Linked DNA regions of Danio rerio. Each later gene encodes a partner of the first gene's protein in a complex. Links are inferred from orthologs where the notes say so. Each region holds a gene or a part of one and is shown in the gene's direction. Other genes may lie near its edges. The genes, in order: e2f4, mybl2b, lin52, rbl1, lin54, tfdp1a and mybl1.

Region 1 (4,078 bases):
AGTGTAGTTATGTCATTTGCATGGTCAAGATGAGGGTTTGTACAAATGTGTATGTGCCTATACTTATTTTAGATGTTTAAATATCTATCGGTTTATCCATCTGTCAGTCTCAATGTTTCTCTTTCTCTCTCTCTTTGTCCATCCATCAGTGCATCTATTTCTGATCTATGTCAGTCATTCTTTCAGTAAATCTGCTTGTCTGTGGATCCATCCATTCATCTGTCCGTCTATCTATCTATATCTGTCAGTCTCATTGCTTCTCTTTCTCTCTCTCTTTGTCCATCCATCAGTTTATCTATCTATCTATCTATCTATCTATCTATCTATCTATCTATCTATCTATCTATCTATCTATCTATCTATCTATCTATCTATCATCTATCTATCTATCTATCTATCTATCTATCTATCTATCTATCTATCTATCTATCTATCTATCTATCTATCTATCTGTCTTTGCATTCAACTGTCTGTCTATCTATCTATCTATCTATCTATCTATCTATCTATCTATCTATCTATCTATCTATCTATCTATCTATCTATCTATCTATCTATCTATCTATCTGTCTTTGCATTCAACTGTCTGTCTGTCTATCTGTCTATCTATCTATCTATCTATCTATCTATCTATCTATCTATCTATCTATCTATCTATCTATCTATCTATCTATCTATCTATCTATCTATCTATCTGTCTTTGCATTCAACTGTCTGTCTATCTGTCTATCTATCTATCTATCTATCTATCTATCTATCTATCTATCTATCTATCTATCTATCTATCTATCTATCTATCTATCTATCTATCTATCATCTTTGCATTTAACTGTCTGTCTATCTATCTATCTATCTATCTATCTATCTATCTATCTATCTATCTATCTATCTATCTATCTATCTATCTATCTATCTATCTATCTATCTATCTATCTATCTATCTATCTATCTATCTATCTATCTGTCCGTCCGTTTGTCCGTCCGTCCGTCCATTTAGTGATAAAACAATCAGGCAAAATAAAAATTGATGTAAAATGCAACAAAAAACAGCAAATATATTGTTTTAATTATATTAAGGGTCAATTATTCAAATACGACAACATCTGTGAATAGAAAACTTTGCATTTTTCAATTTAGCACACGACAAAGAGAAAAACCGGTGTCTGTAGCCCCCACATGGTCGTTTCAGTTCAACGACGCCGCTTTTATCGCCCCCCTCAGGCCGCTTTACGCAATGCAGGAACCCTCCAATTTTTTTATCAGGTCATCCCATGATGCACTGCGCCTTCAACGGCTTCAGTCATTCAAGCAGCTCAGCGCTGGTGCTCGTAAGACCTCCTGTTCTGTTAGGCCATCTGGGTTGGGGTGATCCGTGTCCCAAACCGGACCAGACCCCGAACAGCGGTCGCAGCTCTGTCATTTTGTGGACAACTTTCCCGTCCATGGTTCGCAAATCGCCGGTCGTTGACGGGAAGCGAGCGTTTACGCGGCAGGAGCGGTGCTGTCAGCGATATAGCAAGCAGAAAGCGTTATTTATGCAACCATAAACACAACTGCGGGGATTTATTAATACTTCAACATCATCCTGATGGATTTAGAAACCGGAAGAAACGACCTGGGAGCGATGGGAGAGTCGCTGCAGCCGCAGACCCCCAGTCGCCACGAGAAAAGTCTCGGACTGCTCACCACCAAATTTGTGACTCTACTGCAGGAAGCGAAGGACGGAGTGCTGGATCTGAAAGCTGTAAGCACGACATCAGCTCATCACCATCACCATCACCTATACATCTGTACAATATCACACACGCGCTCGCGAGACACACAGCGCATGCACCGCGTTTATCTTTTAAAATGTGCATGAATACAGATAAACTGCAGATCTTGTAAAAGTTGCCTGAAAGTTGCTTTGCTAAGGGAGGAGGGGGTCGCGTGCACGCACATCCCCTCACTCAACTCCCACGACAATACACTAGCTCATTTACTAAATTAGACTAGTCAGCTAACAAGTTGCAAATGTAATGTCACTGCAGTCGGCAGTTCTATAATCCGCTCCGGTGTTTGTTGTTGTACGCCGGAGTTTATTTGCGGTGGAAAAGTAGTTTCCATCCGGGCTGAAAACTCAAACAAAAGCCTTCAAAACAAGCACGTGCTCTGGAGTTTTGGGAAATTTAGGCCTATGCAAATGGTGGAGTTGCAAAGCATGCTTTAGAGTTTAAACCTGGTTTTTGTATGTATAAATATATTATAATGCAAATATGTTGTTTTGAAATGTCCTATGTTGTTTGGAGTTTAGATTTGCGCAGGCGCTACTCGAAGTGGACCGCATCTAGTTCGGTTGCTTGTCAAATCTGATTTTTTTATCTCTTAGATTAGTTACGGTACATTTTAAAGAAATTAGCATTTTGTCTATATTTTCACTCTCATATTTGTTCCGAACATTAGTTTTTAGTGGGACCACTAAAAGAGATGTTAGGCTGAATGACAGCCTCGGTCACCATTCACTTTCTTTACACTGAGTTAAGATGCACTTCTAGTGAATGGTGACCAGACAAGTCTTTCACAATATGACTAACATTTAAAAAGTCGCATGAACATTTGTAAATGATCAAGTGTTTTTAAGTCAACTGTTGTGTTTAGGATTGCGTATATAAAACATTTTCAATATGCAATAAAAACTTTATATTTAATCATCTGTTCTGTTGGATGTGGTTTTAGGCTGCAGATACTTTGGCTGTAAGGCAGAAACGGCGCATCTATGACATCACCAATGTTTTGGAAGGGATTGGACTCATCGAGAAGAAATCCAAAAACAGCATCCAGTGGAAGTAAGATGCAGAAGCTTTCATGTGGACATATCGTCACCTTAGAACTATAAGGTTCTATCTGCCATTTTTGTCAAAATTAAGTTATTGACATATTCTTATTAAATGACAACTTATTTACATTATGGGATATTTTTGTTGTTGTTTACATTTTAATACTTTTAATAAAAATAAAAACGCGTAGATAGAACCTTATAATTCCAAGGTGACAATATACTGACTCCTATATTTGTTGGTCACTCCTCTATTAGCTTTTTGCATCAATATATTTATATATTTTAGTAGGCTCCTAACAAACATGAGACAATAAAAGTTTTTAAGGTTAACTGTGGTTAATTAGGTTAATTATGTAGTCTGGCATGTTTACTGCTAGAAAATATTATACATTTTTCTCAAAATAAAATATTTTGTGCTCAAAGGTAAAAAAGTTGGGGCCCCATAACATTGTATTGAAATATTAGAAAATATATTTTTGTGATAAATATTGCAATATAAATACAGTTTTACCAGATGGTTTGAATTCTCTACTTGACTTTTTTATAGTCTAATAAGTGTTTAGGTACTGAAATTCGGTAATCACAATGTAAATTACTTGGGGTTGCCTTGTTTCTAGTCCACATATCTAAAAACATAGATTTATTTTCACTTTCAGAAATAATAAGTCAAAATTAAGTGAGATTTTCCTTTAAACAAGCTAATTAATCTGCCAGTGTGGTAAGCAAAATAATGATTATTGTGGATACACACATTGCTATATCGATGCTGAAACGATTTATTGTGCAGGCCTACTTCCAATTTCAAAGAACCTGAGCTGTCTTTTTTTTCTGTTGTGTAATTTTAATGTTAATTATGCAAAAATATGCTGCTTTTTAAGATTTATTTTGATATGGTCAGTGGTTTTTATTCAAACATGTCTGCTTATTATTGCATAGCTACGGAGATTTTATCATTGTTAAAAAATGTGCTGTTTGGTTTCGCATTCAATTCACAAAAGTGACGTTGTTTTAATAGAAAGTAGAGCTGGATGATATGGCAAAAATGCTGTCACGATATTTAAATTCTACATTAAACGATAACTATATTAAAACAAGTTGTTAATGCTTCCACTTTTAAAAAGAGTATCCTAAAAATGACTGAAGACGGATACTGCAGGCAGGAAAGTGAACTGCTGGTGGGAAAGTGAAACGAGAGTGCTAAACAATACTGGGTGACTCAGCAGGACCTATTTCCAGCCGATAATTTTCGGCGACCAAAAC
Region 2 (3,500 bases), on another chromosome or scaffold:
CCACGATGGTGTTATCAAGACGTTCAGAAAGAGGAAAACAATAGTGTGAGACTGATAACGGCAGCCAGAAGAGAGAATCATGTTGAATGTTGTTACTGTCCTGCCGCTATAGATTCTGCATTACCCCTACTGCTCATGCGAGGGATGCGTGTCACGATTTCGATTTTTAATTGAAATTTATGCTCAATTTCGATTATCGAATCAAAAAATAGAATCGTCGATGCTGCCACGCCCCCATGTCACATCAGATTGGCTTGCCAAGCGGGAAAAAAACAGGCTTGTTGAAGAGCTTGTTGAACTGCAGATACAGGAGACCCGTCGACAGAGCTTAAACCCTCTCCTCTTTCAATGAAGTCGCCGGTGTTTAAGCATTTTGGATTTCCAGTGAGTTATGTTGACAACGTTCGTGTTGTCAACAAAAAAAACACAGTTTTGCAAGCTCTGCTATGTACGTATTACGTACGGTTCGTCCGATAGACAACACCGGCATCGCGATCCTCCGCCCGCCCCCGTTGCAAATCCGCTGGCGAAAAGTTCACACTCAGGCCCTGTTTACACTGGCTTTGTTTTTAAATGGCATTTTAGAACAACAACGATTTGACATCCACAGTGGCGTGTAGCATTTCTGAGCAGCCCTCCTTCCTCTCTACCTCTGAAAATGCACATCACGTGACCACACAGACGCACACGCAGCCATGCGCTCGAGACTGCAGGTCCAGGCAGTCAGAGGACTGCTTCAATCTTTCACTCACTTGTACTCAGTCATTTTAGCGAACACCTCAGATACTGTTGGCTGGTTCCTGTTGGTTGTGCGTCTTTTTTACCGACGCCATTATAACGACACAGATCACTGCCTATTCACGAGTCCCGCAGAAAAAGTGATTGACAGGTGGTAATTATGTGTGTATCTTGCCTTTATTCATTTACTGTATGATTTGTTTATGGGTAAAACAAAGACCATGCAGGTCAGGTAGTTTAAACGGTAGGCTACCAATAATTAATTGGTCATTAATTAATTATTCATAATCGAAAATCGAATCGAATCGTGACTTTAGAATCGAAAATGTAATCGAATCGAATATTTGGAGGATCGTGACACCCTTAATGAGCTGTAATTCGTTTTTTGCAATTGAATACAAAGATGATACTATACATATAAATGTTCCCGTTTAAAAAAAAAAAAGTAAAAACTTTCAAGGATTTAGGATGCCGATGAGCGTCTTGTGAAAAGGGTCTAATGCAAGTGCACACACTGCAAAATCGATGCGTAAATGATATATTGTGCAGCCCTACTTCATGGGACTATTAAGTGTGTGTTGGACTGATCAGAGTGTGTGTGTGCGCAGGATCTGGAGGGCTGGTGTACCATGTCGGACTTCGACCTGCCGGAGGAGAGCCAGAGCTCGGAGCTGCTGCAGTTTCGTCTGGAGGGCAGTGCACTGCAGGAGCTCAGCAAGGGCAGTAAAGGAGAGCTGATCCCCATCTCGCCCGGCGGAGCCACTCCTCCATCCATCCTGAGTCGCCGCAGCCGTCGACGCATCGCCCTCTCGCCAGACCCCAATGACTCTATGACCCCAAAGAGCACGCCGGTCAAGATCCTGCCCTTTTCCCCCTCACAGGTGGGAAAACGCAACACAACACTAGCCATGTTTCCATCCAAAGATGCAAATTAAATGTATGCGCAAAACTGGAGTATGGCATAAAAGATTTAAGAATAAAGCAGCGTTTCCATCCAACGAGTCTAAGATAACAAAATCATCACTTCCTCATAAACTGCCGCCAAATATCAAAAGAAAAACAGAAGTTACAGTGTTGGGCTTTTTTTTCAGGGTTCCCACTGGTCCTTAATAAGTCTTAAAATGTCTTAAATTAAAATCCGGGAAATTAAGGTCTTAAATTGTCTTAAATTTTACCGTAAAGTGGCTGTAGATATTAAACTTTCAGCCGGTGTGCTTAATGACAATAGGGAAGCACAGTGGTCCACGGTAAAACATCTAATAGTTGATTAATTCAGCACTTGTAAAACTACAAAGTATAGACGCTTGCGTTGGTCTGCACCTGCGTGCTGTTATTATGCAGTTGTTGATGTGTCAATGCAAAGATGGGAAATTGTACATTTAACAACGTGGCAAAGAGGCAATGTGTAAATTCTGCAAAAAGACTTTTTCGTTAGGGACCATGGGGCTCAAAGTCGTCGAGTTGCACATGAAAGGAGGAAAGCAGCAGCGGGACGTTGCAGCAGCTAGTCATAGCAGGTCCAGGTTAATCCCTGCATTGTTTGCAGCTCGACCTAACAAAGTTACTAGTTACTAATGTTAGGCCTATAGCCAATGTTATGAATAAGTAATGTTAACCCATATAAACGACTCATTCATGAAAAAAGACAAAAGAGCTGTGTGCCTGTGCACATTTGGATAATGTCGGACTCCAAACAGGTTTGGGCTTTTAAAAGCTGTCAATCAAAATGTACCTGTGGGGTTCGGGCTCTATCGGGCCTAACTTTTATATCATGATTACAGCTCTAGTTCAGACGCCCCTTCACAGTCAGCTATAACAGTTTTATTTCACCACCAGACACCCAAAAGGCTGGTACTGCGGGTTATCCATACTGTGACGAGGCACAATTTATTTAAATCTAACGAGAACATTAAAATGAGTAGCTTATTCCAAAGAGATTATACAATTTTTGGGTCTTATATTATATTTGTTGAGGTCTTTAAAAATGTCTTAAAAAGCATTAAATTGTACTTTTAAAATAGTGCAAGAACCCTGTTTTTGTATATAATAATTTACTTCCGTCTTAGAACACGTAGACGAAACCCACTGAGCGCAGTAATGTTATCTTGCTTTTGGAGGCAGGATATCATCTTCAGATATCATCTCTATCATCACTGCTTTTTCGTATTTAACATTTAAAACCTTTCAGAGCTCATCATCCACCTAAACATACATGCCACTTTCCGCCATTTTTATCATCACATGATCTGTTGAAACAAAATCACATGAATTTTTTTTGTGTGCTGGAATTTATTCGTTTCCATTGTAGTTAATGCAGATTTTTTTATATCAGATAAAGTTTATCCTTCTCGGTTGTGTGCAGAATCTTTTTATGCAATGTATGCACATCTTGGCTTTTTCATTCAGTTTTTTTTTTGCGATTAATCCAAAGAGTGCATTAAAAATAGGTGGATGGACACACAGTGGCGCCCCCTGAGAAACTTTTCTTAGGGGTGGCCAAGTAAGACCACACCAAATCTTGGGATGGCTCACAAAAAAAAAAAATAATGAGTTGTGTATGTACTGTGAATGAGTAATGTTATATTTTTGTTTCTGGTAAATTAAATAATGAAGTTTTAATTAATTCCATTAAATACTCTTGTAACATTGTAATTTATTCCTTGAAATAATTCAGCAAGTACACGAGCAAACCAAATAATTATCAATATTTAGTTTAAAGACACCTTTCAGGCAAGTTATTTTTTACATGCTTTTATTGCACA
Region 3 (4,029 bases), on another chromosome or scaffold:
TTCTTCAACCAGTTTTACAATACCATCCCTTTTTTAATGTCTTTTAAATGGGCCTTTTCGTATAATGCTATGTACAAAGCATTTGAAAATGGGTTGATCAAAGTAATAATGCTACAGTGAATGAATGATGTTTCTTTAGTGTTTTAAAATAAATAAAATGAACACTCTGTTAAAAATATTGATATGATACGTTAAAATGTGCTGAAACTAGACTTGTTTATGTTTACCAATAATTTTTATTTTTGGTCTATTTATAATTACTGCCTTTTTTGTAGCTGTACAGAAGTTTGTTCTGCTGTGTTTTTTGGCCTGACTGAGTCTTGAGTCTTATATTATATTAACACTATCATAATACTACTCAAGTACTCTGTATGAAAGCTAAACATATTAATGTTCGCATATTATTCATATATATTTTTACTTATTTTGCAAGAAAGAACGTTATCAAAGACACAGTTTAAACAAATAGACAGAAATGAATTCATAATTAAAATTCCAGCAAATTAAACAAGTTTAAATGATTTACACCAAGAAAGTGTTTTACATGCAATATAACTGTTAGGGTCTTTTAAAGAGTTCACATATAAAGTAATTTCTTAAAATAAAAAAGTAGGGTGTTTCTTTGAAAATTTACATTTATCGATGTAAATTTTAGGGGGGGGGAAACAATTAATTACAAATTTACAAGAATTCAGAAAGTATCTAAAGAATATAATTTTTTGTGGGAAATACAAAAGTTTGGAAATAATACAATTTTTGTGAAATTGGAAAAGTCAACCCAAATGACTTTACAATAAGTGCACTCCCAAAATAGGCCAAAAAGATTTAGTGTTTCACCATATTGAGTACAAAATGAGCATTTGAAGGAAATATTGTTATTAAATTTACCTAGTTTGTTGTTTATTGGGTAGCAATTATGAATGATTCTGATTGAGACTTCAACAGCTTTATTAGATAAAAATATGTATTTTTTCCGAATACCATCCAAGATCAATATCAAGAAAAGGCCATTAAAGACCATTAAAGAGATCAGAGAACTGTTAACAATAAAGAGAATCACTTTGTTTGACATAGAACTGAGAAGAGTTTGGTCAACAAAAAGGTTTGTGCTGTCAATAATATTTATATTCATATTTTTCAGTCAATTATTGCGACATCATTTTACAACATAAGAGGGTGTGGCTATTTTATCCAAGACCTCCAGTGATTGGCTGCTTAGAATCACGTGTGTTGTTGTCAAGATGGCGTCTCCGAATGGAGGTAAATTTTAATTCCTCTTTTCCCTGGCAGCGTTAGTTGTTAACGCAATAGTGCAACGGACTAATTAAGTCATATAAATCATTATGCGGTTTAGCATATTTTTTATAAAGAACTGATGGATTCTGAATCAAAATAAGCTTTTCAGTCGGAATAGCGTCATAAAATTGTTTGGAGCCAGTCATTAGCAAAGCTACGTGTCAGACGACATCAGTTGTGTAGTAATAATTTAATACGAATGTAATAGTGTAGTAAATACGCGAAGACATATTACTTTTGGTGTGTCGTGATTTTATCTTTAACGTTAGTTATGTAACTCATTATTTTGTGACAAGATTACTCAATGCAGCTAGCTCAGCTTTGAGTAACTTAGCAGCTGAGTAAACATAATATCTCTGTCATAACATCAGCTTAATTTTACACCTTGAATAATATGTGACAGAAGATTTTTTTTTGTAACGTCATCTAAGCTGAGTTATGTTAAAATTGAAATTGTGTATATTTAACATTTTTTATTGTACTTCAGGTTTATTGATCCTGTTGCTGATGAGTTTTCTCTGACCATAGAGCATTTATCTTTTTAATGTGTAGGTGAGGACTTTGAATCTTCTCTGATAAGTTTAGAAAATCTTGACCGGGCTTCACCTGACCTGTGGCCAGAGCAGTGTAAGTTTGACTCTCTAATCTTATTCAGTTGGACTAATATTTATGACACATTAACATATTTTTCCAAATATATGTAAAAAAAAATGCACTGATTGAAATATAGAAATTACATTTGATTATTACACATTGTCATATTTTTGAACGCTTTGTTTTTAACAGTGCCGGGTGTGTCAGAATTTGCAGCATCCTTTAAAAATGTGAGTAAATATTCAAATGATAATGAATACTTTTCAAAGTTGATGTGAAATTAAGGCTTGGTTTTTGTTATTTCAGCCTATTACAAATTCTCCACCCAAATGGATGGCTGAACTGGAGTCAGAGGATATTGAAATGTTGAAAGGTCTGCCTTTTTTAAAGTAGTATTCATATCAAGTCTTTTAATGTATCATTTAGTCTTTTATCTATGCTTTCTATATATTGCTTAGTAGAATAGGTTAATAATAGTTAGATGAGTTGCTTGGTGAATTCCAGGGTGTCCGCGCGGTCTTAAAAAGTCGTAAAATGTCTTAAACCTCAAAATTACATTTTTATGTCTTAAATTTACTGAAATATTGTGTTGTAGTTCCTAAATGTTAAATTAAATTTTTTTTAAATTAGGTCTTAATTTTCCTTTGTTTATGTATCGCTACGCAGTCTGGCCATTAGTCCTATACGATCACCAACAATTCATCTCAATAAAACCTTTTATATAAAAAGGTGATTTTTAACTCTGTTTACCATAACAGTTTTATTATTTTCCTCAAAATACATAATATTTGTTAAAAAGTGTTCCATGTATTTGCTGCTGAGGACACCGACCTGGACAGATTGTTTTGCATAGATTTAGTTATATTAAAACTTTAAAAACATTAATTCATTTTTTATTGTAAAGAAAGTTTATGTTGGAAAAATAAAGTGTATGTATACAAGTAGAGCTTGTTTGTTTTTAAACAATATTTGAATATTTTTATAAAAAATATCTAAAATATTTATTTTTTTATTATTAAATTATAATTGTATTATTAATATATAATCGTTTTTTGATGGGGCAAATGAAAAATCTTTTCCATCTGGGCCATATGAAAAATTCCTTAGCGATTAGTCCTTTATGAGTCTAAAATTTCATTCATAAGGGTCTTGAAAATGTCTTGAAGTCTTAAATTTAACTTTGTGAAACCTGCAGAAACCCTGGAATTTATAAAAGCTACAGTATAATATTTTGTTTCGGTTCTGGTCCATTTTTATTTTATTTTTTGTAACTTGTTTGTTGTGGCTTTTTTTTTTTTAGAATTAGGAAGTTTGACCACAGCAAATTTGATGGAAAAGGTGAAGGGTCTGCAGAATCTGGCTTACCAGTTGGGCTTGGAGGAGTGTAAGTAATGTCTTACTCAACTCAGAAATAGTGCATTAGTTCACACTGTTTATCTAGTTACGGTATATTGTAAGTCATCCACTAGATGGCGATATTAGAAAAAGAATAAAACTTACTGACAAACACAAACCCAGCTTTTAATACATAAAGACATTTTTCATGTTTTTTGCCGCTGTGATATTTAGGATAGAGTTAAAAAGACAATACAACAAATAATTCATTATATGTAGTCTGGAGCCTAAATCCATCTGAATCCTTGTGTGGAAAAAACACTTATTTGTTATGTTCTATTCGTTTATTTCAGTCTGTAAGTCTCAAATGAATTCCCACTCTATATTTAAACAGAACTGGCTTGTTGCCCAGTGTCTCTGTAATATTATATCACAGAATTGCTAGATGTAGCATTAATCCACGCAGGCAGGATTACAGGAAAGATAAGTGTTTCAGTTATTTTCTAGATGAAAATGGGCATCGAAACATCGCACAATTTGAAAGCGAGTACTGCAGACCATTGGTGAACACTCGTTTCAGATGTATTACATTCCTTCTGCTGATTTGACCTTTGTGTGGCATGTCCCTCAGAAAGCCCTCAACAAACTATGCTTCAATGAGAAAAATCAGTCAAATGCTTTTCTGTCTACTTGATTTTTACTCTACTATTTTGAATAATTTCCATAATGTTACAGAGAGAGGATAAAAAAAGCATCAGTTAATTTAAATAATTCAAAGATATGCATTTATATTGATTTAAAATT
Region 4 (3,500 bases), on another chromosome or scaffold:
TTTGTGTTTTTTTGTGGTTTTAATGTGAATTTGTTTTCTGATGATACTATGGATACACGGCTAATATTTTTGATCAGGTCCTGCCATATAAAGATTTGTTATGGGGAACATATCAACGATCGAAAATCTCTTGAGGGGGGATTCTGGATACATATAAATAAAAGCACCACAATTAAATTAAAACATTACTTCTCGACCACTTTCCCCAGTATGAAGGAATTTTATAGGATTGTGGTCTTAAGGAAAGTGTCAGTACTGCCCTATTTATTAGTTACATTTTTAATTTTTATTTATTTAATTTTTTTTTTTTTTGTTATTCTTAATGTTTTTTGTTTTGTTTTTTAAGTACACATGAAATCAAAACTAACCATATTGAGTTAGTTAGCTCACATTGCTAGTTTTGTGGTGAACAATTCATCTGTGCATGTTGTTAGGAAAATTTTTTTTGCTATATACAAATATATATTTGATATACAGAAATATATTAGCAATTCTTAATCATGCAAGTATAGAGAAAAACAGTTTTCAAAAAAAAAATCTTATTCCCCAGCAGAGCCTTAATTTAAATATGGGTCTTATTGTCTTATTTCAAGTGCATATGTTCTGTTGCTACTCCTTTCAGGTGTATCATTTAGCCAGTGTGCGTCTGCGAGACCTGTGTCTGAAGCTGGATATCTCCTCAGAGCTAAGAGGGAAGATCTGGACGTGTTTTGAGCACTCTCTCCTGCACTGCACTGACCTGATGAAGGACAGACACCTGGACCAGCTGCTGCTTTGTGCTGTTTACATCATATCAAGGGTACAGATTTTAAATGCAGTAAAACATTAATATTTTTAAACATTGGTCGAAAGTTTTATTGTAATGTCTTGCTGTTTAATTGTTTATTTATTAATTCAATGGTTTTGCTATGAAAATAACCATTGTTGTTGCTATGATAATAAGGGTTGTAACGGTATGAATTTTTCACGGTATGATAATCTTCTAAAACAATACCACGGTTTGACGGTTTCACGGTATACGGTATACGGTATGTTACAAATGTTACAAAATAATAGAACAGTGAAGCAAATTTGACTTTTTCCAAATAATATATTTTTAGTTACTATAAACAACACCACTTACAATGAACAAATAAAAATAAGAAAATAATAAATAATGTGTCAAAGTCCAAATAAAGTCCAAATAAACATGGTGCAAATCCTTAGTAAAAAATAGATATAAATATTTACTATACTATAAATAGTTACATAACGAAACTAGATTCAATATGGAACATCCTTAGGTTTTATGTGCCAGCGTGGATATGGATGTGGTTGTATGCAATGCAGACAAACAGCTGCATCTTCATTTGCGTCTTTTGAAAACAGCAAGAGCAACAGTTTGTCTTTGCTGTGTCACTGTTTTGTCATGTTTCTGTGCTGCTGTGCATGCAAAAGTACTTAGTATGAGAATTATTTCATGCAAAACTTTTTTTTTTTGCGTTTTATTTAGCCGCGCATAAATGTATGCCTTTCTCTCATTCCGTGTTGTTCAAAAAGCTTGGTCCACAAACAAAAGCGAAACCTATGCTTATTGGTTGTGATATAGCGAGTTTGAACCAATCTGGGCATGGAGGAGGGACAATGCATCAATGTATCATGTCTGATTTGTCCGGAGACACAGTGACGAGCGTTTCTTTGTCAAATCAGCGTTGTCAAATGTTGATGACGTAACCGCACTGATTCCGGAGCCTCTGAAAGTCCGTGAATGTTATCAGCGGATCAAAAGTTATTAAACATTTAAGAGCAATGCTTATTTTTAGCCGCGGGCGGCTGTCTCGGTCTTTAAGGGTTAAAACCGTTGATATGCAATTGTTCATGGTATGATAATCGTGCACGTTCAAATCGTGGTAAACCGTCATACCGGTATATTGTTACAACCCTAGACATGACATGATATAATATGATGTATTAGTAAAAATCTAAAGGAATGTTATGAATATTTATAAACAAAATACTGCATTTTTGGCATAATTACAGCATCATGTTATTGTTCAGGAATAGTTTTAATATGCTTATTTGTTGCTCAAGAAAACCTTTATTGGTTTAATTTTAAAAACCATGTTGCTGTCTATTATTTTGGTCTTGTGTTTTTTAAATGCCAATATTTTATATAACACATTTTATTAATGCATTGTTTCTAATTAAAAACATTCATCACTTTGATAAATGAAAAAATTTATGAATAAAATGTATATAAATTACAATTTTACATTAAAAATCATTTAAATTGTGACATTTTTTTGCAGATCACGAAAGAAGAGCACACTTTTCAGGACATTATGAAATGCTACCGAACACAACCACAGGCCAACAGTCATGTGAGTATCAACTCTTAGTCTTTCTAAATGGCATAGAAATGCTTTAATGCACACAAGTGTCGAAAATCTTGTAATTTTAGCTGAAAGGAAGCACAACTCAGTCTTTGATATACCCACATCAACCATGTTTTGTGTGTTTGTAGGTGTACCGCAGTGTTTTAATAAAGAGGCGTCCCAAAGTGCAGCAGGCTGACGAGAACATGGAAGTCGATCCTCCAGCAGACCAGTGTAAGGACGATACAGACAAACGCATCTGTCTTTTAAAAAATAAATAAATAGTTCACAGTATAGTGCATTAGCATTCAAATATTTGGAGCCAGTTAGATGGGGTTTTTTAGATGTTAGATGGTATGTTTTTTAGTTGTAAGGACATGTTAAATTTAATAAAAGTGTCCTTCCTGTCACCTTGGAATAATGATGAAAAAGATTATTTGCATAAATTGCTATTTGTCCATCAAAGAATCATGAGGAAAATCTTTCATGATTTCCACGCAAATATTTTAGTTGCGCAGCTGTCTTGAATTTCACCAATAACAAGAAGTGTTTCTTGAGCACCAAACTCAGCATATTACAATAATTTCTGAAAGATTATGTGAGGGCTGAATGCTTAATTTGCATCAAAGGAATAAATAATGTTTTAACTATTCAATTCATCTTTATTTTTCTAGTGCTTTTACAATGTAGATTGTATCAAAGCAGCTTCACATAGAAGATTATAGTAAATTGAAACTCTTGTCAGTTCAGTTTTTGACTATATTTGTTCTCTTTAAAAGGGAAATACTTGGCTAATATGTTGCTTAGAATTATATTAGACAAATACAAGTGTTTTAATTTATTCTTATTTTAATTTTTTTATTCATTGTTCTGTCAATTATTTTCATTATAAATTATTACTTTTCACTTATTTTTAAGTCCAAAGAGAAATGGACTATTGTTTGTTTTTGTATTATTATTATTATTATTATTATTATTATTATGTGCTGTATTACTCTGGTTACTGAGCAGCAATAGATAACACTTTTCACAAATCACAAATTTGATTTTTCTAAAAAGTTTTAAAATCAATGAACGCATATTAATCGTGATACCCGTGATTATTCCTCAGACTATAATTGTACAACCAACATCTATAGTCATTGC
Region 5 (4,014 bases), on another chromosome or scaffold:
TTCTCTCCGTGTTGGCGTGGGTTTTTTTTCGGGTGCTCCAGTTTCCCCCACAGTCCAAATACGTTCTGTGGGTGAATTGGTCGTGGTGTATGGGTGTGACTGCAAGAGTGTGTGGGTGTTTCCCAGTGTTGGGTTGCGGCTAAAGAGCATCTGCTGCGTAAAACATATGCTGGATAAGTTGGCGATTCATTCCGCTGTGGCCACCTTAGATTAATAAAACGTGAATGAATAATAAAAAATAAATGAATTCAATTCAATTCAATTCAGCTTTATTTGTATAGCGCTTTTACAATGTAGATTGTGTCAAAGCAGCTTCACATAAATGGTCATAGTAACTGGAACAGTGTGGTTCAGGTTTTAGTGTAATAGAAAATTTACAATAATATAATATAATATAATATAATATAATATAATATAATATAATATAATATAATATAATATAATATATAAAAATATATAAATAGATATGTGGCGCAGTGGGTAGCAAAATCGCCTTACAGCAAGAAAGTTGCTGGTTTGAGCCTCGGCTGGGTCAGTTCTAAAATAATTATCATAATATTCCAAGTAAAAATCCATTCTTTTGCTTTTTTATTGAAGAGTTGAATAATGAAAATTCAAATGAATTAGTTAATTAGAAAACTAATTTTAGACGCAAAATTCTAAAATTAATTAATTGTAATATGTATTAAAATTATTAATATAAACACTTTAAAGACACTTGAAGAGTGTTCTCTTACAATTCCCAAATTTGTAAACTTTTGTTGTTGTAAACATTTTGTAATGTACAAATAATTCATTTAAATAACTAAGAAAATTGTGCAATTCAGATAACGATTTAGATAAACAGGAAAAATAACAATTATGAACATCAGTAAAAATATATATTTTTAATTATGCGCAATGCAAAAATTACAGTCATGGTACATACAAAGAATAAAGTTAGAAGCAAAACAATAATATACAAAGGAGCTACATTCATAAAGCACTACTGGGATAATAATAAACAATTTAAAAACTTCAGTTGTTTTAACGTCATTTTTGTCACAGAATTAGAATTAGTCTTAAAATAATGTTGCATTTCAGTAGGAAAAATATAAAAGAAGAGTTTCTGGTTTGTAAATTTGCATTTGTGTATATGAAATATTAAGAATACAACAGTAAAAAATCTGCGCGGAAGTTGTGTTGTGACGTCATGTGTTGTTTCCTACGAAGGCGTGGTTTGATTATGGGATGTTAGAGGTGAAATGGCGCTCGGCGCGGTATTTTAAACAATCGTCTTCGTCTGAGAGCGGATGATCGACAGGATGCAGCCCCGAGTTGGACCGAGCAGGTCGTGATCGAGCAGAAAACGTTGTGGATTTCAGAAGAGCGTCTCGACACTCATCTCGACCCCGTGTAGGAGTGCTTTGGGCTCGGGTGGGTGTTCAGCGAGGGGCAATATGATCTCCGCTAGTTAGCAGAGCTGCTAACACTGTATGTATATATATGTGTGAGTGTGTATGTGCGCGTCAGCTGATGTCCGTCCGCGAACTGCCTCAACCGCGCGTCACACACACAGCTGCGCTCGCGAATAATCGCTGCTAATAATTGCTCATCTTCTGCAACATAGACAAAACTCATATGAAGCTTTATAAAGGGCTGATGCGTTGCAGGAGTTAATAGTGGCTAACTGATTAGCACCCTAGGCTTTACCTGCCAGAGAATGACAGCAAGCTGCGCCTGTCATTTTAGTCTTGCGGAGAGCTGTTGCTTAGCAAAATTATTAAATGTCTGTAAATATAGAGAGGTTTTCATTTCTTGTATGCGTGTAATAGTACATCTATTTGTATCATTAATTAAAACATCAGGAATTACATAGTTCAGATCATACGTTTTGTATGAATTAAGATGTATTTGGTAACACTTAACGGTTGCCAAATGTTTTATTTGTCAATATTAGATAACAAAATATTTTTGAGCAATTTCTTTATCTTTGTTAACGTAACGTCAACAAATACGACTTTTGCATTTGAACATGTATTAGTAAGTATCAAGGTTAAGTTGGGTTTTATATTCGTACACGTATAAATATGACTACGTTAACATTAGCATTAGTTTATTTGACTGTGGACATTGTTGTATTCTGATAGCCATCGTCTGCTAATATGGTTAAACTATTTGGAATTTGCAGAAAATAACTTTATGAAAGTCTGAATGTGTGAATATAAAACCAACTTTACCTTAATGCAAATGTCATCTAATGGAACTGAACTAGTATCATCAGTAATCATCAGTCCAACTGTATCATTACTAATTAAATAAGCAAACGACTATTATCTAAGGCTAATAAACGCTAAATAATGCAAGTTATTGCTCTTTAGCATTAACAAATAAAATACTTTTGTGGACCACACCTCTCACTAAATTGTTTGAGTGTACATAGATGTAATTGTACACTTTAGGATATATAAAGTGTAATAATAGCATGCGTTAAGATAAAGAGAACATTGTAATGAGTTTTACCCTTGTTCAAAACCTGCATGACTGACTTTTCTTCTTCTACAAAGAATGACGTCATTTTTCACGGAATAGAAAAATATGCATTGAGAGTGAATGGCAAGGATGTCATTCAGATTACCATCATGCTATGTTGTTCCAGTGAAGAAAAACCTATGAGGGTTTTGAACGAAAATTAACAATTAATATTTCTAAGTCTCAAAACGAATACAGTGACGGTCCTTTGTACTTCTAACTCATTCTTTAAGCTCAAACTCTGACAAAACAACAAATCCTGTTGTTTTTTCCTCTTGTCCTGCGACTGTTTCTGTTATGTCTGAACTGATGACGAGATGAAAATGGCGGATCTTTCGAAATCCAAGCCCGGCCTGAAATAGACACGCAGCCCGCTTAACTCCTTTTAACAGGACTCCGTTCTGGAGACAAACATCCCTATCTGCAAAAACTCTTGAATATACGCGTACACATGAATATTTTAATGGCATCAGTATAGACAGGAAAGCAGACGCGTCGAATACCAACAAACTCCGTCAGATGTGAAACTGACAGGCTTGTTTTTAACTGTTGAGGTAAATAATTATACACACATTTATATTCTCAGGCATGCACAAAGAGGCTTATTGTTGTTTAACTGTGTATAAAACCCGTGTAAAACTGGTAAAACGTTTAGCGATTAAACGCATACATAGAAGTGCATTTCTGAGTTGTGTTTTTAAACCACTATTTTGTGAAACGTTTTTTCCAGCCACTGTCATTGTTTACCGATTGATAGTTTTCTGAAGCAAACTCTGGCTAGTTCATGTTAGTTGTTGCGGCTGTTTTATGTATTACTGTGTGTTAACTGCTGGTTAGCCGCTGTGCTAGTTAGCCACATAGCAGCCGAACATAAACAGATCGCCTGCTCTGGATGCGACGCGACACAACTTGTCGCGTCGCTCGTGTTGAGCAGTGTTTACTAAATATTAGGAATTTGAGTGGTCTACTTGACTAGTTAACCAACTAGTAACGTTAGTGTTATGTGATATTGATGCTGATGTGAATTATATCATGAGACCTGTTATTCAGAGGGCAAAAAAGAAGTTATGTAGTTTAAATGCATGACTATTGTTATATTCTCCATATGTAATATTAACAAAATATCTATTTTAAGTGTAGTACATTTACAGTAAACAGAGTGGTGATGTTTAATATTACATCTCATAAACTGCAGTAGTGCTGAACTTTTTTTGAGGTTGCTATGGGTGTAAATGTTATTGATTCATTCTCAGATTGTGGTTATTTGAGGTAACATTGTAAATAATGGAATCAAGCAGTGTTTGTTAGACAAATAAACACCACTGATGATTTAAGATGCACAATGGTTGAAAATGCTTAATTTATTTTGTTATAATCACAGTTAATGCCACAGAACAAGGAAATGCATTTTTCTGTGAAGACAGAAAGAAGAAAATAAAAGTAAACTAAAGGTCTTTTTAAATGTATATTTACATTACAGTATTTTAAACCAAAATGAAAGTT
Region 6 (3,500 bases), on another chromosome or scaffold:
AACCAAGAGATCTGAACTACAAATGTGAACACACCCTAAATATGTTAACCCTTTTAAATTAAAACCCTCTTTTGATGCCTAGTTATATCCCTGTGATGAAATTTAGATGCGTCAACATAATCAATTCATATTATTCTGTTGGGATGGGTGATTAATTATAAATTAATCTAAATCTACATTCATAAACATAAACATAAATGTTTCTAATTTTTCCAGGCTGTTTTTTTCCCCAATTACTTTCCCTAACGCATGTGGAGTCGCATGACCCTGCTCTGTTAAGGCTGATGTATACTTATACGTATGGTCCAGCGCACCTCTCAATAAATGTAACTACATGTTGTGACGACATGTAGCGCAGGCTTTGGGATTGGTCAGTTTGAAAGCAGTGACAAGCGTAGGTGGTGGGGATTTCACTCAGTTGTTTAACATTAATGTTCAATAAATAATTTTTCCCCTCCTTGCGTAAAACATATGCTGGATAAGTTGGCGGTTCATTCCGCTGTGGCGACTTCTGATTAATAAAGGGACTAAGCCAAAAAGAAAATAAATGAATGAATGAATAATGCACCCTTTTATTTAAAAATCTTTCACTGGTAATATGTGAACATTTGTTGTACAAAACTTGTCTGAGCTATGAGGGCAAAAAAAAAAATAAAAAAAAAATCGTTCCTTAATCTTAATCGAGTTAATGTTCAATTCATTGAGATTTTGATTTTAGGGTAAATTGCCCAGCCCTATTATTTTGTACCATTTATTGTGAACATGGCTTTTGGGATGTACTGTCTTCTGCTTTGGTCTTGCTTACAGAAAATTTAGACAGATCTGCCATATCTGTCTGAACCTCTGTTCATAATCGACAAACCATCTTTAAGAGAATGAATTCCATTGATCACTGCAACTTTTGGCTGTTGTGGCGATTGAAAACATTCCTCATTAGTCACTTTCATTATGAGACACAAAGATTTGTGTAGTAACCTTGGTTACAGTCTTCAAGTGTCCTCGGTTCTTGTGCCAAACCAGTTTTCGTTTTTTTTTTTTTGCAGTGACGTTTTGTTGTGGAAATTTGGCTCAGGTTTTTAAGCTAGACCAAGCATCAATTCCTCAGCCCCAGGGATCATGGCCAAAGATGTGAGTATTTTCTGTTGCTCTATTAGATGTCATCTACTAAGAATGATCATTGAGGGTTATCTCGTTCTCCGCAGGCTGGTCTGATTGAGGCCAATGGGGAGTTGAAGGTTTTCATTGATCAAAACTTGAGCCCTGGCAAAGGTAAGAAGAGGCTTTCTGAAGAATTATATTTAAGATCTTGCAAAAATGCTATGCAAAATCACAGACACCTGCTTGACCTTACATAGCACTACGTTTAGAAGTCTTCTGTGTATTCTTCTACCCCTGCAGGTGTGCTGTCTTTAGTAACGGTGCATCCACAGGCTTTGACTGTTGGAAAACAGCTGTTGCCAAAAACACTGGGCCCTTCCAACGTGAACATTGCACCACATATGGTGAGTTTGGTCACATAAACACTGCATCTATAAATCATACTAGTGTTAATCGTTCTATTTGTGAATTAAGTGTGTATTTCAGATTTAATCAGGTTGTCATAATTGCTATAGACATTGTAGAGAGCTGGGATGCCTTACCATTTCCTTGAAGACCTTTTCATTTTGTTATGTTCTGAATCATTTTCTCTGGAGTGATCTGTGTGCTGCATTAATACTCTTGAAAAAACCTTGTTTCGTAACTTAGGGAGAGAACAGGAAAGAAGCCAAATGAAAAGAATATGGATGGAAACTACAATTGTAATCTGTGATTTGGTGCAACAAAATATGAATACTTTGTTTTGGTGATATTTCTTCACAACATGCCTCAAAAAGATCACAAGGTTGGAGACTAGAGCTTCGTCCTAAATGGCACACTATGCACTCATGCACTATGTACTTATGAACTTACACACTCAACAGGATAGTACATGTATGTAGTGTTGTCCCAAATGGCACACTAATGTTTTTTTACTAAGCGGAAATTCAAACCGTTTCCCTAATGACGTTTGACGGTTGCTAAATAAGTTAAATAAACGGCCGAATTATCAAGTAATACCTGCCGTGAGTATTGCCGCATTCACCATCGGGAGGCGCTATAACCAATCTCGTATGAGAATTTTGCTTTCACCATCCAAAATAAAAAAAGTTATCCAACATGTGCGTCCGATAACTCCGCCCCTTCTACTACATAAGCAAACCTGCGGTCGTTGAGTGCGTGAAGTGTCCATCATTAAACACTTCATTTTACCAGCTGAATGAGTGCATCATCCGGGTAATTAAAGTGCACTTATTATTTTTAGAGTTTTCAGTGTGAACGCACTATTTATACTACAAAATAGCGTAGAATAGTGCATAAGTATGCAATTTGGGAAGCATCTTAGGTATATAACATGGTTTGAAAGCAGGTGATCTTTTGTGTCTTGTTAAACCCATTTGACCACATGAATGTTTACACTGCAAAAGAACTTTGATTGAATAACTTTCTCCACCAATCAGATCAGCACTTTTGTTCAAGTGCACGGAGCTGCTGAAGTTACAGTAAACAGCACTTGGAGGCTCTCAAGCGCAAAATTGTCAATGCGAGCGCACATTAAAGAAGATGTCCAGAGGCTATATATGAACGTTTAGCTGCTTTTTGCTCTTTTGCATATGGTGATTTTGCATACTCTTCTGCTTGACGCCAGTAAAAATTGCTTGGCTTTGAATACGGAAAAACGTCTCTTAAAACGCTGACGATAAACGCAAACGAAAAGCGTCCCGGTGTATAGGAGCCTTTAGGGTGCTTTCACATCTGTGGTTTGGTTCATTTGGTCCAGATTAAGGGCAACAAATGACACATTGTAACTTTTTTTTTTTTTTTTGTCTGTTTTTGATTCCTTTTCACACCACACTGATTGCTTTTGTCTCAACCAGTTGAAAAGAACTAAAATGCAGTCATGTGACTATCCACATCACTCATTGGCCAGATATTATTGAACAAATTTCCTAAACTGCTTTTCGATTGGTCCGTATTAATGTGCAGGAAAATGTCAATGGAATTCCCTCAAGTAAACAAACCGGCAGACAAAAAATGTCACTTTTTACTATGGACTGCACTGGCTGATTGTATTCCTGGTCATAGTAAAAGGCAGGGGGGAAAAACCCTTAGACACTGCTTGTGTTCTGCATTATGCTAAACACACACCATCTCCTGATTTGACAGGTTAGGCTGACTGATTTTCAAGAATGGTTATGTTTGGTTTATAGTTTTTTTTTAATCCACATAAAGCAATTTGTAATATCCTAATGGAGTGAGGAACCTAAACCAGCTGTTTTCAAAGTCTGAATTCATAGGTTCAAATCTGAGATTTCATCTGTGTCAGGTTTGGAAAAATTAAACATAACCTTTTTTTTTCTTTAATGAACATGCTCATGCATAAATCATCAATTGGAAAAAGTCATTAATAATTAAACAATAAC
Region 7 (3,500 bases), on another chromosome or scaffold:
CTCTCTCTCTCTCTCTCTCTCTCTCTCTCTCTCTCTCTCTATATATATATATATATATATATATATATATATATATATATATATATATATTAGGGGAGGGGAAGAAAAAAAACAATGCATTTTAATTCTTACTTTAACAATTCTAAATTAATTCTCAAAAATTTCTAATCGATTCTGTATTCAAATTAGATTGCGATGGTGCAGGGATGTGCTCTAAACAGAAGTGTTGACAAGCACATATACGTATGCTACTGAATTCACTTGATTTGGACTGATGGATAATTACAGGCGAGACGCAGCTCTTCTGATCCGTTGATCAACCAATAATTGTGAGAGCTAATTACATAATAAATGTACATTTAATTTTTCTCCTATTATCCATAATTTCACTTAACGTTATAATCAAATAAAAGCATTTTTTTTGGAATGAGGACTCTTTGTTCTTTATAATTGCTCTTTGTGATCTGGTGTTTTTATCTTGAAATTTTAATAAAGAATAATTCTTTAATAAAAGAAATAAATGTTTAATAAAATAAAACAATTTTGATGACTTGATGTACTGTCACACAGAGATTCCAATCAATAATCAAAAGCATGGAAACTGTAATTCTGGTTAAAATGACATAAAATTTTACAAATATTTGTAAAAATAAAAAAATGTTTGGTTAAGAATCTTTTAGGAATCGGCTCATGACCTCCAGAATCGGATTGTGCTCAGAGATTCCCACCCCCAATATTATATAATTAATATATATTATTATTATGGCATCACAGTGGCACAGTGGGTAGCACAATGCTTCACAGCAATAAGGTCGCTGGTTCGAGCCTGGCTGGGTCAGTGGGCATTTCTGTGTGAAGTTTGCATGTTCTCCCCGTGTTTGCGTGGGTTTCCTCTGGGTGCTCCGGTTTCCCCAACAGTCCAAAGACATGCGGTACAGGTGAATTGGGTAGGCTAAATTGTCCGCAGTGTATGAGTGTGTTTGTGAATGTGTGTGTGGATGTTTCCCAGAGATGGGTTGCTGCTGGAAGAGCATCCGCTGCGTAAAAACTTGCTAGATAAGTTGGCGGTTCATTCTGCTGTGGCGACCCCAGATTAATAAAGGGACTAAGCCGACAAGAAAATGAATGAATGAACGAAAAACATCTTAACATTATAGCATATAATCTCAAAGTAATATGCAGCATCGATATCATGACTGAATTAATGTAGACTTATTGATTCTGTGATTTTATTTATTGTTTTATTCAGTTGAACTTTCCCTTCCACTTCATCTTTTGGTCATTTCATGTGTTTTATCTCACTCTTTTCCTCACTGACGTCGATGATTGTTCCTCTGCAGAATCCAGAGAGCTACTCGAGCTGGTCAGACAGTCTGCCTGATGACAGTGTGGAGAGTGTGGAGGACAGAGGTGTAGAGGATGGCCGCTCCGTCTCCATACCTCTGCCTGTCTCTCCGAGCAAGTTTCTGGCTGCTGAAGCCAGTGCTGTTCTGTCCACACTAGAGACCATCCCTGAGTTTGCAGAGACCATGGAGCTCATTGACTCGGTAAGCAGAGTACGTAAAGATACACTTTCTGTGTTCTAAATAAACTGATCAGGTTATAGGAAGTTTGTAGTTTTTAACTAGTTTTTAACTAGTTTATTCTGCTTTTCTGATAATAAGAGTGATATTTAAGTGTCATTAGTAATTTGGTTGTGTTTTAGATATTTTTATTTTAATATCATCTGTATAAAATGTCAATTTAGCTTTATGTCAATAATAGTTTTTAATTAACCAAGATTTGTCAAGTCAGTTTTATGGTTTTAGTTTAAGATGACAAGAATAACCCTGGTCAATAATCAAGTGTGCAATGTAAAGAAATCCATTAAGTACAGAATGTAAATGAATTGTTTTAGAAACTGCCTTTGTTTTTGGATGTCGTGTACTCTCCACTCTTAAATGAATGTAAAACTGTATAAAATTAGATATGTTATTGATTATATATTCTTATTTTTAATTAATTAATTTATTTTACTTTTTATGTACTAGTTGATTACTGTACTAAGAGATCTAAGCCAGGGTAGCACCATATTTAAATTTTGGAAGAAGGAAATTAGGTTATGAGCAATATTAGTCCATTGTGTTCAACTGATTGATCAGATTAAGAAATATCCCTCTGAAAAAAAACAAGTTTGAAAGTTATGATTTGTGAAAATGTATCATTGACAGCCTTATTTTTACCTGTGTTTAAACTAAATATGGGGTTTAACAAGACTAGGACTAAGACTACGTGTTTAGACTACACTGTAAAAAATGCTGGGTTCCACACTATCGATTTGAGTTGGGACAACATGAAGGAATTAAGTTAACATTTACGTTTTTACAAATTAAGTTGTTTGAACATTAAACAATCAAGTTCTCCTCCCAAAGAAACTCAGGAATTGCGTTGTTTCAGCTCATTTTAAATAAGTAGTTTGAAACAAACTTAATTCTTTGAGTGTAAAAAAATCTTATCAACTATGCAGATTTTGAATTGTGGCAATATAAATGTGTTTTTTGATGCTGTAGGATCCTCTGGCCTGGAGTGATGTCACTAGTTTTGATCTCTCAGAGAGCGGCCCCTCTCCGAAGCCTACAAACCCCGCTGATGTCTGTACAGAAACCCTGGCCTTCCCAATAAATGCTCCTACCGTCCAGACAATGACCAGACCATGTGCTGCGGTCAGCCAGGGCAAGTCTGGGACTCTTCCCAACACCTGCATGAACAGATTCAGCTCTCCACCAACCTCCATCTGCAGAAAGAAGAGAAGAGAGGGAGGAGATCAGTCTCCTGCTGAAGAAAGAAGCTGCTCTTATATTGACAACAGTGGGAACTCTCCAAAACACACTCCTGTTAAAGGCCTGCCGTTTTCACCTTCTCAGGTACAAAACAAAATCATAAACTAAAGCACCTATTATAGAGTACAGAGAACCAAAATGTTTTTTTTTTCCATTTTTTTAAGCGGTTAGTTGGATATTTCTCAAAAGCAGTAAACCGTTTATTCTGTATTCCAGTGATTAGGTGTTTTCAGATATGTAAAGAGATATTTATAGAGGTGATTTCTACACATGCACCTAAAATTTAGTACTCACTGATCATTTTTTTATTATAGTTATTTTAGTTATATTCGTTTATTATATCAAATTGAATCGTAAGCCTGTACATCTGTATCGAATCAAATTAGGACTTGATTAGGACACAATCAAGGACTGAATCAATACCCAGACCTAGTGGATTCATTCAATGTTTTTTTTTTTTTTTTCCAGTTTTTTAATGTATCTGGTGGCGAGCCCTTGAGCCTCGACAATCCTGCTCTCACGTCAACTCCAGTGTGTGGACAGAAATGCCTCCTCAACACACCGCATCAGAAAGAGACCACACCAAAACACCAGAAGGAGAATGCAGGGTCAGGGCTCATTCTTCAGCTTTGCTGCTGCTGTTTGAGAAATTTGAGATAACCGTGGTCTGAATCAAGAAAT

What was found.
Region 2: e2f4 (region 1) and mybl2b share a complex: the UniProt entries of both Homo sapiens proteins name them as parts of the DREAM complex. The link is inferred for Danio rerio from reciprocal best matches to the Homo sapiens genes E2F4 and MYBL2.
Region 3: e2f4 (region 1) and lin52 share a complex: the UniProt entries of both Homo sapiens proteins name them as parts of the DREAM complex. The link is inferred for Danio rerio from reciprocal best matches to the Homo sapiens genes E2F4 and LIN52.
Region 4: e2f4 (region 1) and rbl1 share a complex: the UniProt entries of both Homo sapiens proteins name them as parts of the DREAM complex. The link is inferred for Danio rerio from reciprocal best matches to the Homo sapiens genes E2F4 and RBL1.
Region 5: e2f4 (region 1) and lin54 share a complex: the UniProt entries of both Homo sapiens proteins name them as parts of the DREAM complex. The link is inferred for Danio rerio from reciprocal best matches to the Homo sapiens genes E2F4 and LIN54.
Region 6: e2f4 (region 1) and tfdp1a share a complex: the UniProt entries of both Homo sapiens proteins name them as parts of the DREAM complex. The link is inferred for Danio rerio from reciprocal best matches to the Homo sapiens genes E2F4 and TFDP1.
Region 7: e2f4 (region 1) and mybl1 share a complex: the UniProt entries of both Homo sapiens proteins name them as parts of the DREAM complex. The link is inferred for Danio rerio from reciprocal best matches to the Homo sapiens genes E2F4 and MYBL1.

The regions. Positions count from the first base shown.
Region 1 is NC_133200.1:18,358,789-18,362,866, forward strand, and holds the start of e2f4 (transcription factor E2F4), read left to right. Parts: upstream 1-1,278; 5' UTR 1,279-1,588; coding exon 1,589-1,744; intron 1,745-2,715; coding exon 2,716-2,825; intron 2,826-4,078. UniProt on the Homo sapiens protein: Transcription activator that binds DNA cooperatively with DP proteins through the E2 recognition site, 5'-TTTC[CG]CGC-3' found in the promoter region of a number of genes whose products are involved in cell cycle regulation or in DNA replication.
Region 2 is NC_133186.1:1,640,500-1,643,999, forward strand, and holds part of mybl2b (v-myb avian myeloblastosis viral oncogene homolog-like 2b), read left to right. Parts: intron 1-1,346; coding exon 1,347-1,619; exon of another isoform or gene 1,620-2,040; intron 2,041-2,101; exon of another isoform or gene 2,102-3,387; intron 3,388-3,500. UniProt on the Homo sapiens protein: Transcription factor involved in the regulation of cell survival, proliferation, and differentiation. Transactivates the expression of the CLU gene.
Region 3 is NC_133192.1:33,276,441-33,280,469, reverse strand, and holds the start of lin52 (protein lin-52 homolog), read left to right. Parts: upstream 1-1,229; 5' UTR 1,230-1,241; coding exon 1,242-1,260; intron 1,261-1,848; coding exon 1,849-1,923; intron 1,924-2,082; coding exon 2,083-2,120; intron 2,121-2,196; coding exon 2,197-2,263; intron 2,264-3,190; coding exon 3,191-3,274; intron 3,275-4,029.
Region 4 is NC_133181.1:54,202,606-54,206,105, reverse strand, and holds part of rbl1 (retinoblastoma-like protein 1), read left to right. Parts: intron 1-622; coding exon 623-799; exon of another isoform or gene 800-953; intron 954-1,925; exon of another isoform or gene 1,926-2,288; coding exon 2,289-2,360; intron 2,361-2,503; coding exon 2,504-2,588; intron 2,589-3,500. UniProt on the Homo sapiens protein: Key regulator of entry into cell division. Directly involved in heterochromatin formation by maintaining overall chromatin structure and, in particular, that of constitutive heterochromatin by stabilizing histone methylation.
Region 5 is NC_133185.1:12,008,842-12,012,855, reverse strand, and holds the start of lin54 (protein lin-54 homolog), read left to right. Parts: upstream 1-1,214; 5' UTR 1,215-1,473; exon of another isoform or gene 1,474-3,065; intron 3,066-4,014. UniProt on the Homo sapiens protein: Component of the DREAM complex, a multiprotein complex that can both act as a transcription activator or repressor depending on the context. In G0 phase, the complex binds to more than 800 promoters and is required for repression of E2F target genes.
Region 6 is NC_133184.1:36,646,188-36,649,687, forward strand, and holds part of tfdp1a (transcription factor Dp-1a), read left to right. Parts: intron 1-1,043; 5' UTR 1,044-1,116; coding exon 1,117-1,128; intron 1,129-1,202; coding exon 1,203-1,269; intron 1,270-1,398; coding exon 1,399-1,502; intron 1,503-3,500. UniProt on the Homo sapiens protein: Can stimulate E2F-dependent transcription.
Region 7 is NC_133199.1:27,725,927-27,729,426, forward strand, and holds part of mybl1 (myb-related protein A), read left to right. Parts: intron 1-1,340; coding exon 1,341-1,556; intron 1,557-2,549; coding exon 2,550-2,903; intron 2,904-3,287; coding exon 3,288-3,427; intron 3,428-3,500. UniProt on the Homo sapiens protein: Transcription factor that specifically recognizes the sequence 5'-YAAC[GT]G-3'.